Caenorhabditis elegans: one gene and its partner. The protein of the gene in region 1 purifies or fractionates together with the protein of each later gene. This does not show direct contact. Each region holds a gene or a part of one and is shown on either strand. Other genes may lie near its edges.

What was found. The genes of interacting proteins can lie anywhere in the genome.
Region 2: the proteins of T03F7.7 (region 1) and Y52B11A.10 fractionate together in Caenorhabditis elegans (co-fractionation; one large-scale study listed by BioGRID). This does not show direct contact.

The regions. Positions count from the first base shown.
Region 1 is NC_003283.11:11,309,594-11,313,971, reverse strand, and holds T03F7.7 (CRAL-TRIO domain-containing protein), read right to left. Parts: upstream 2,551-4,378; 5' UTR 2,451-2,550; coding exon 2,383-2,450; intron 2,114-2,382; coding exon 1,915-2,113; intron 1,866-1,914; coding exon 1,545-1,865; intron 1,490-1,544; coding exon 1,143-1,489; intron 913-1,142; coding exon 783-912; intron 734-782; coding exon 614-733; 3' UTR 527-613; downstream 1-526. Other genes in the region: cutl-18 (CUTiclin-Like), read left to right, coding at 1-87, 249-515.
Region 2 is NC_003279.8:11,037,455-11,042,081, reverse strand, and holds the start of Y52B11A.10 (MI domain-containing protein), read right to left. Parts: upstream 3,027-4,627; 5' UTR 3,021-3,026; coding exon 2,913-3,020; intron 2,872-2,912; coding exon 2,689-2,871; intron 2,646-2,688; coding exon 2,520-2,645; intron 1,474-2,519; coding exon 1,317-1,473; intron 620-1,316; coding exon 438-619; intron 1-437. Other genes in the region: dxbp-1 (DNA/RNA-binding protein Kin17 WH-like domain-containing protein), read left to right, coding at 3,263-3,339, 3,484-3,712.

The DNA of each region.
Region 1 (4,378 bases):
GTATTACCGTTCCGAGCGTTTCGGTTTAAACAGGGAGAGGCTGTCAAGATTGAATGTGAGGTGAAGTACTGTGAAAAGTGTAAAAAGGTGAGATTTTTTGTTAATATTAAAAATTATTTTGGTAATATAATCTTCAACAATTTGTTGGACAACGCAACTATCAATATTGTTAGTTTTTTGTTCAAAAGTTCTAATCAACTCTCTACGGCATTGTTCCTAAAATCTGAGTTTATTCATACTATTTTCAGGCAAATTGTCCATCACGTAACCGCCGATTTACAACTTTTGATGAGAGTGAGGACACAACGTTAACTGGAAATGAAGATACTGAAAAAGTCCATGCCGAGCTTCTCGTTCAAACAATTGTAGACTCAACCCAATTAGATGGTTATTGCCTTCAATTGAACCGTTGGATTGCACTAATTTCCTTAACTGTAATTATAATTTCAATTCAATTCCTACTCGTGATCTATATTTGTCTCAGAAATCGTTTCCTCGATACAAAGAATATCTGATATGGGTGTTTGGTTTTTTGATTTTTTATTTGTTTAATGTCTTTATGTTCGGTAAGAACATTCTCATAATAAAGATAATAATACATGAATTGTCATATTTACACATTTAAAATTTCAGCAGCACAATTGACTTTCACTGGGAACCACGTACTTGATGGATTTTTGAACCTTAGAATATACTCTCCCGGTGCAACAAGTTTCTCGCCAAACTCTGGTAACTGAAAATACATTTTAGTGCAAATTCAACAAAACAGGGAAGAAACAAACCTTAAGACTTGTAACTGTGATCTTCGGCCAGATAGCCATCTCTTTACCAGCGTCTCGTTTAACAATCTCGAAGTCAACGTCTCCACTGGTTGTGTAATTCCAAACCAGTTTACCTTCCGTCGTAGTTTTTCTGTGAAAAAGGACATTATTTTCTCGGAATTGTTTCAGAAGGTGTGAATGGTTTTGTAGTTTTTGCACAAAATTTTCACGATTCTGTGCGAATCGGCAATTTTTGGAAATTTTCTCTCATGAAAATTATATGAAATGAAAACATTTTAATAAATAAATACTCTAACATAAAAAAATTTAATTGTAAGTAACATCAAATAAAATTCGATTTCCTCTAAATTTATAACTTACATGATATACTCTGATGTCTGGAATGCTTTTATCGAGTAACTCTTTCCTTTCGGTGCCTTGAGAATCCCGTTTTTAACCCAAATATACTCTTGTGGTTTATAATCTTCTTTGGTAATTCTCTTTGGTTGTTTACATGCTCCTTCTGGTGGATCTGCATATCCAGTATCATCACGATATGTTCCTCCATATTCGACTGGAATTGCCTCCGGCTCCAAATATTTTTTCAAATCTTCCACGTTGCTCAAGAAAGCTAACTTTTCTACTGTATTAGGGTCCACGAGTCGTTTAGTGACTTGCCACATGACGGATATAATTCCAGGTGGATTGATAAGAAGAAGCTTGCACAACTAAAATATTGAATTTCTCGTTTTGTTCAAGTAAAAACTGAAATTATACACTCACGTGTTCGCTGAAATATTCTGCCCAAACTTGCACCACGAGCCGTGCCAACTGTGCAGGTCCTGACAACGGATTCATGAAATCCATTAGATTTAATCCTTTCAAATCCAGAATACAGACGACTGAAGATGTTTTTCCTGTCTTTCTTTCAGTGTGTGCCATTGCTCTTGAAAAATTTTCTTGGAGCATAAAGTATGAGTGAAGAACATAGCTCAATGGCATCACTTTTAAAATTTCTTTGATATCAGTTCCTTCCATTTTTTGTACAAACACATGAAGATTTTTTGATGTGACTTCATAGTTAAGTTGAGAAATATGGAATCTCTGAAAAACAACAAAAGGTGTAATTCTATCCAGTGTTGGGAAGTCTCACCTCAAAACAATCCTTTCCAATATTTACGGTTGTAAAAATATCGAGATCGTTGATTTTTTCATATCCCATTAGTTTACGATGTTCGAATAACTGTATAATTTTCTGGCGTGTCTTTTCCACATCTCCATTATTTGCATTCAAAAATCTGGCAAAGAAGAATGGAGAATCGATTTTATCAGGTACGGATGGGATTGAAACTCTGCAAAAATTACTTTCTCAAAAATGGTTTTTCACAAAAATGTGCTGTAAAATGTTTTCAGGTTAAATGTTTTCAGGTGTTGTTGTTGGAAATTGGCGTCCAAAACCGAAATTTTTTTTTTGCTTTTTATTACTCTCAAATCCTCAATAGATTTATCGGAATGCAAGTCAACAATTTGAAAATGTCAAAAACTAGTAGCCGTTGCCCAAATTAAATGTCAAATTCACTGGAACGGAAAATTGTCAACTAAAAATTAAAAAAAAACTCACTTTAATTTTTCAGCCTTTTCCAAAATGTCTGCACTGAATTTCTTCGCTGTGATCATATCGTCAATCATTTTTGAATTTGTTGTTTCACGAGTGATTTCTTCGACAAAAAACGTGTATATAGCAAGGGACAGTCTAAAAAATAAATCTGGCTGTGGGAGGCGGTCTCCTAAAAAATGAAAAAAAGTGATTGATGGAGACAGGTTTTCAGATTAATATGCAGGAAAAGAAAGTCGTGCTGTTTTAACTGTTATCAGCAGTCATCACCAATTGATTATGTGATTATACATATAATAGTTATGTTATCATTTTATCACTAGAAGGGGCGAACACAATGGAAAAAAATGAGGACTTGATCAGTAGTGATATGACGTGTTAAATACAAGACATTCGGCGAAGGATGGTCGAGAGAAAATAATTTCGTGTTTTGTGATTTTAGAAAATTTTGGAAAAAAAGCGAAGATGCCAAACCTCAAGGTTGAATGGAACCTAGAGAGAAAGGTTGAAAAAAAGTGAGACCGAAAAAGGAACAATTTTAGATTATACTAGTAGTGCGCGGTCTCCTATAGTCGGTGGTTAGTAAGAGAGAAGTAAACAGGAATAGAGATGGCAGCAAGATGGTCAACAAAGGGAAATAGAGAGGTGTCGTTTAATACGGTAGTCACACATACACATAAAAGTTGAAGCCCCGGCTTGTAAAGAATGAATTGTTGTAAGAAATAGTTGAAGAGAATGAGCGTACAATTGTATTCAATGGGTGGAGACAATTTCAGATTGTTTTTCAGATTGTTGAATACCTTGTGATGAGGAAGGGATAGGTTTAATTGAAAAAAAGAATCAGGTGGAAAAAGGGTAAAGGAATAGAGAATGATGAACGTACAAAAATTTGGAAAATGAATTTGAAGTATTACACAAGTGGGGAATATTAAAAAATAGGAGGAAAATCATTTTTAAAACAATTATAAATTCGTATTTATGAATCGCGGGATTATTTAATCCACATAATATACATTTGAAGATAAGAGTGGATAAGATTGGATGAACCGTTCGGTATTTTCAGGTAGCTTATCAAAAAACATTTATTCAGTTATACGGCTGCTGGAAATTTTTAGTTGATGATTAAAGTAGACGTTTCATGCTTTGGTAATTTTTTTCTGCGTGATATTTTATTATCTCCATGTACTAGTTGTTACAATAATATCTCTACGTCTTTAACAACATCCCTGTCCAAATTATATCGTTTGTATCTGAAAAAATGTACCGGAAATTACCACACATCCATCTCATTTAAAGATATCCATTACTCAAGAGAATTTGTCCTTCTATAGCCCAATATTTTCTTCTTCATTGTGATGTCGTGTATGAACAAATCTGAAACCATTTCCAAACATCTCATTCAAAGCTCCACAGGGTATTCTCTTGTCCGCACCCTTGCTCAACCACAAAAATATAAGCATTTATGAAAAATTGGCGTATTTTCGTCTCCCTTTTCCATCTCTTCAAGGGGTTTTCACCACTTTCACCCAGTGCCACCACCAACAGAATTCGCCACTCACTTTTTTTCTTTTTTCTTTCTTCAATTGCCTCATTTATTCAAGGATGAGCACATACTTATGCTGGCGTTTTTGAATAAAAATTGAGCAAAAATGAAGAAGAATTCCGCATATTGGAAGAAGAGGAAGAAGAAGACTCCAAATGTTTAGTTTTGATGACTTGGAGTGAGAAATAAAAAAGAAAATTTTTAATTGTTTTGTTACTAAGTGTTAAGTCTCAGGATCTGTAATTTTTGTTGGAATCCATTACAATTTAAAATAGATTTAATATATTTTTCAGTTCTATTTCAATTTATTACTGATTTAGGACAAATTCGCTCACTAGGATAGTATTTCAGCTCATAATTAATGCTCCGAATGAAATCTATGGCAAGCTACAAAATTTTTTCTTAATCTAGTTGTTCCAGATTTGCAAATTTCTCTAAATGGCCTAGTAATTATCTGTC
Region 2 (4,627 bases), on another chromosome or scaffold:
TTGCGGCAGATTTCAGCTTTTTTTTTGCAATTTTTGAATAAATTTTGTATTTTTAATGGATTTTTCAGCGAAAAACTGCAATTTCGATTTGAAAATTCAATAAAAAATCGAACATAAAACCCAATTTTTCACTGAAAAAAGTCATTTTTTATCACAAAAAATATGGTTGAGGCTAGGAATTTTGTAGTTTGTAGTCTGTGAGCCTCAACCAAATTTTGAAATGATTTTTTAATGGTTTTTCGCGGTTTTTGTGCAATTTTGGAGTATTTTTTGAGTAAAAACTGGAAAATTGGTCAAAATTTTCGAAAATGTTTTTTTTCAAAACAAAGTTCCGATTTTTTACGTTAAAAATGTCGAATTTCAGCCTAGAATCGTGTATTTTAATCATTTTTTTTTCAGTTTTTTCAGTATTTCAAGATATTTCCAGTAATATTTACCATATCCTCATCATCCTCCGATTCCACAGGCTCTTCTCCTTCAGAAAGATCTAGCTCATTTCCAGATTCATCAGCTTCATCCTCTTCATCTTCAAATTCTTCTTCATCTTCCATATTATCATCGTCAAGTTCATCTTCCATTAGCTCCTTACGCCGTTCCGAATCGCAAAAGTCGAGAAGTACTGAAAATTTTGAATTTTAGAGTGAAAATTCAAGTTTTTATTAAAATTTTATATAAAAATGAAGATTTTGGCCAACTTTCTTGTATTTTTTTTTTATAAAAAAAAAAAAAAATTAAAATTAAAAATAAAAATAATAAATATTTAGCCTCACTTAAATTTTTTTTGACATTTTTCTGTCTAATTTTTGAATGAAAATTGAGGTTTTTTTTTGTTAATTTTAGATAAAAATGAAGATTTTGGCCAACTTTCTTGTATTTTTAATTGAAAAATTATCGAAAATGACCCAAAAACGGCGAAAAAACATCAAAAAATAATTTCAAAAACTGGTTGAGGCTCACAGACTACAAACTACACATTTTTCAGCCTCAACCACATTTTCTCAGTTAAAAATTAGGTTTTTAACCATTTTTCCAAACTTTTGAAGTCGAAACTGCAGTTTTTCGCTGAAAATTTCATTAAAATACGAAACTTGTTTAAAAATTGCAAAAAAAAGCAGACTTCAGCCTTCAAAATCCTTTTTAAATCTTGATTGAGGCTCACAGACTACAAACTACAAACTGTTTAGCATCAACCATTTTTTTTGTTGGAATTTTTCAGTAAAAATTCAAATTTCTGAGTGAAAATTCGAAATTTTTATGTAAATTCCAGGTTTTCAGGTAAATTCCTAGCTTTTAAAGACTACAAACTACAAACTCACAATCCAATCCATCACTTTTCATGGATTTCGGTACTTTTAGCTTGCCATCTCGCTCCTTTTTCTGCTCATTTACACCTAAAAGTACTCCATATTTACGAATTGCGGCGTCATCTTCCTCAGTTCCGTCGGCTTCTTGTCGCCGCTTTTTTGTCGCTGTCTGGAAGTGAAAATAGATGAAAATCGACAATTTTTGCATTAAAAATTGGATTTTTAGTGGGAATTTGTAAAAAATCTGTGGAAAAATTGAATTTTTCACATTTTAAATGTTTATATTTTAGCAAAAAAAGTCTAAAAAATTGGAGGAAAAAACCAAAAAATCAGTTTTTTTTCGGTTGGTTGAGGCCCAAACGATATTGTAGTTTGTAGTCTGAGCCTTAAATCTGAATTTCGTCGGTTTTTAGTGTTATTTCTCGATTTTTTGCAATTTTATTCGAAATTTCTGTCATTTTAACGTGCATAAACTACTTCTCCACCGATTTTAACCCAAAAAACTTTAAAAATTAGAGACAATTCAGAAAAAAAAAACTGTTAAAAAATAAATTTTCTCGTTGGTTGAGGCTCAGGAGTTATTGTAGTTTGTAGTCTGAGCCTCAACCAGAATTTCATCTGTTTTTAGTGTTTTTCAGGAATTTTTGCTATTTTTTCGCAACTTTTATCATTTTAACAAGCCTAAACGGCATTTACTTTGCTTTTGAGTTAAAAAAAAAACTTTCAAAATTCGAGTAAATTCGAGAAAAAACTATTAAAAATTAACTTTTCCCGTTGGTTGAGGCTCAGACGATATTGTAGTTTGTAGTCTCTGCGCCTCAACTAGAATTTCATCAGCTTTTTTGTGTTTTTTCTTGAATTTTTGCAATTTTTCGCATTTTTTTTGTCATTTCAACATTCCTAAACGACATTTACTTTGATTTTAAGTCTAAAAACCTTAAAAAATTAGAGAAAATTCGGGTAAAAAATATTAAAAATTAAATTTTCTCGTTGGTTGAGGCTCAGGAATTGTTGTAGTTTGTAGTCTGAGCCTCAACCAATATTTAGTCGATTTTTATAGGATTTCTTTGATTTCTCGTCATTTTTTCGTATTTTTTGGCAATTTTAAATGTTTTAAGCTACATTTTCCACGATTTTCAGACGAAAAATCGATAAAATCTGCCAAAAATAGCCGTTTTTTCAGTTTTTCTCCGTTTTTTTCGCATTTTCTCCTACCTGAACCTCTTCCATATACTGTTCATAGGTCAAATCCTCATCACTATCCTCAGAATCATCACCATACTTCCGTTTTCCCTTATTCACGCTCACTTCGACGATTCCCTTGCGATTTGTGGGCTTTTTCTGGAATTTTCGAGTTATTTCTATACAAAAATCATGCTAAAACCTCTTCTTCGTCTTCAGAATCTTCCATATCCTCCTCGTCATCGGAATCCCCGTCATTTCGATTTTTATTCTGCAGATATTCCAATTTTCTCTGCTCTTTCTTCGCTTCCAGCTGTCTTTTCCGTTTTCTCTTCTTTTTATCCTCTTTCGTCATTCCCATCGTCTCTCTCATCACTTGTTCTATCTGAAAATTGAATTTTTGAAGCAAAAAATCGCAAAATATACCGGAGTTCTCTGGGAAAATGCCTTTGCCTGCATTTTCTTGAGCTGTTTCGCGGATTTTCGTTGTTCCTTCCGCGACATTCCATCTTTTTTGAATAGTGGAAGCTTCATTTTACCCTGAAATAGTAAAAAATTAAAGTTTTTCGTTAAAAATTCATCGAAATTCGCTGAAAAAGATTAATCGAAAAAAAAAAAAAATAAATATTTGCAACGACACTCCGAAATCCCGCTAGTGCGCGTTGTTTACCGTAAATCCACAGCGCGTGTTTTTCGAATTTATTTCTTTAGTTTTTTGGTTTGCAAGCTTTTTCAAGCTTTTTCACCTAAAATTCCTAATTTTTTCAGATTTAAAAATGGGAAAACACGAAAAAGGAAGTTCAAAAGACTTGGCAAATCGAACAAAATCGAAAGGATTACAAAAATTGAAATTGTATGGCACTTTTTAAGTAAAAATTTAAAAATAATTAATTTTAAGCGATTTTTGTCGGTTTTTGCTGGTTAAATTGAGTTAAAATTAACGAAATATTCAATTAAACAGTTAAAAATTAATAAAAATGATTATTATTATTTCCAGCTTCTGCCAAATGTGCCAAAAGCAGTGTCGAGACGCGAACGGCTTCAAATGCCACTTAACTTCCGAAGCACATCAACGGCAACTTTTGCTCTTTGCCGAGAACTCGAATTCCTATCTCCGACAGTTTTCCAATGATTTTGAGAAGAATTTCATGCAGTTGCTGCGAACTTCGTACGGAACGAAGCGAGTTCGTGCCAATGAGGTGTATAATGCGTTTATTAAAGATAAGGTAAGAGAAATTTCAAGAAAACTTGAAGAAATTGCCGGAAAAACGCCGAAAAATGCATTAAAATCGGCAAAAAACCATTAAAAACAAGTTTTTGAATTTGGTTGAGGCTGAAAAATGTTGTAGTTTGTAGTTTGCCCATTTTTAAAAGGATTTTCACGATTTTTGGCCAAATTTCGTATTTTTTGCTCAACTTTTAGTGTAAAACTGCATTTTCGAATTGAAAATTCAGTTAAATTGGACAAAAAAATCCAGTTTTCAAGTGAGAAATGTTTGGTGAGGCTGAAAATGTTGTAGTTTGTAGTCTGTGAGCCTCAATCAAGATTTAAAAAGGATTTTTGCCATTTTTTCGAAACTTTCAGTGTAAAACTGCATTTTTGAATTCAAAATTCAGAACAATTGAACAAAAAAATCCAGTTTTAAACTGAAAAATGTAAAATTTATCTCAAAAAACTTTGGTAGAGGCTAGAAATTTTGTAGTTTGTAATGGAGCTCATAGGGGTCTCTGACCCTCACCCAAAATGAAAATTTATTTTTTTCGCTAAAAATTGGAACAATTTTGATTTTAAGGTTCAGAATTGAATTTTTAACGTAAAATATTTGAAAAAATTCAGTTTCCCGCAAAATTTTGTAGTTTGTAGTCTGTGAGCCTCAACCAAATTGGGAACATTTGGAAAGGTTTTTCCGAAAAAAAACCTTTAAAAAATTTAATTTTTGTTAAAATTTTCATAAATCCATGAAATTTTTATTTTTAAATAATTTGCGGTCAATTTCGTAGTTTTTGAAAATTGAAATTAGCCTAAAATTTTGAAATTTGTTAAATTTTTGTCTGAAAAACGGAAAAATTCAACCCAATCTGCAGTTTATAGCCTTCTAAGGACTACAACAACATATTCCAATAATTTGAGCCGAAAAGCT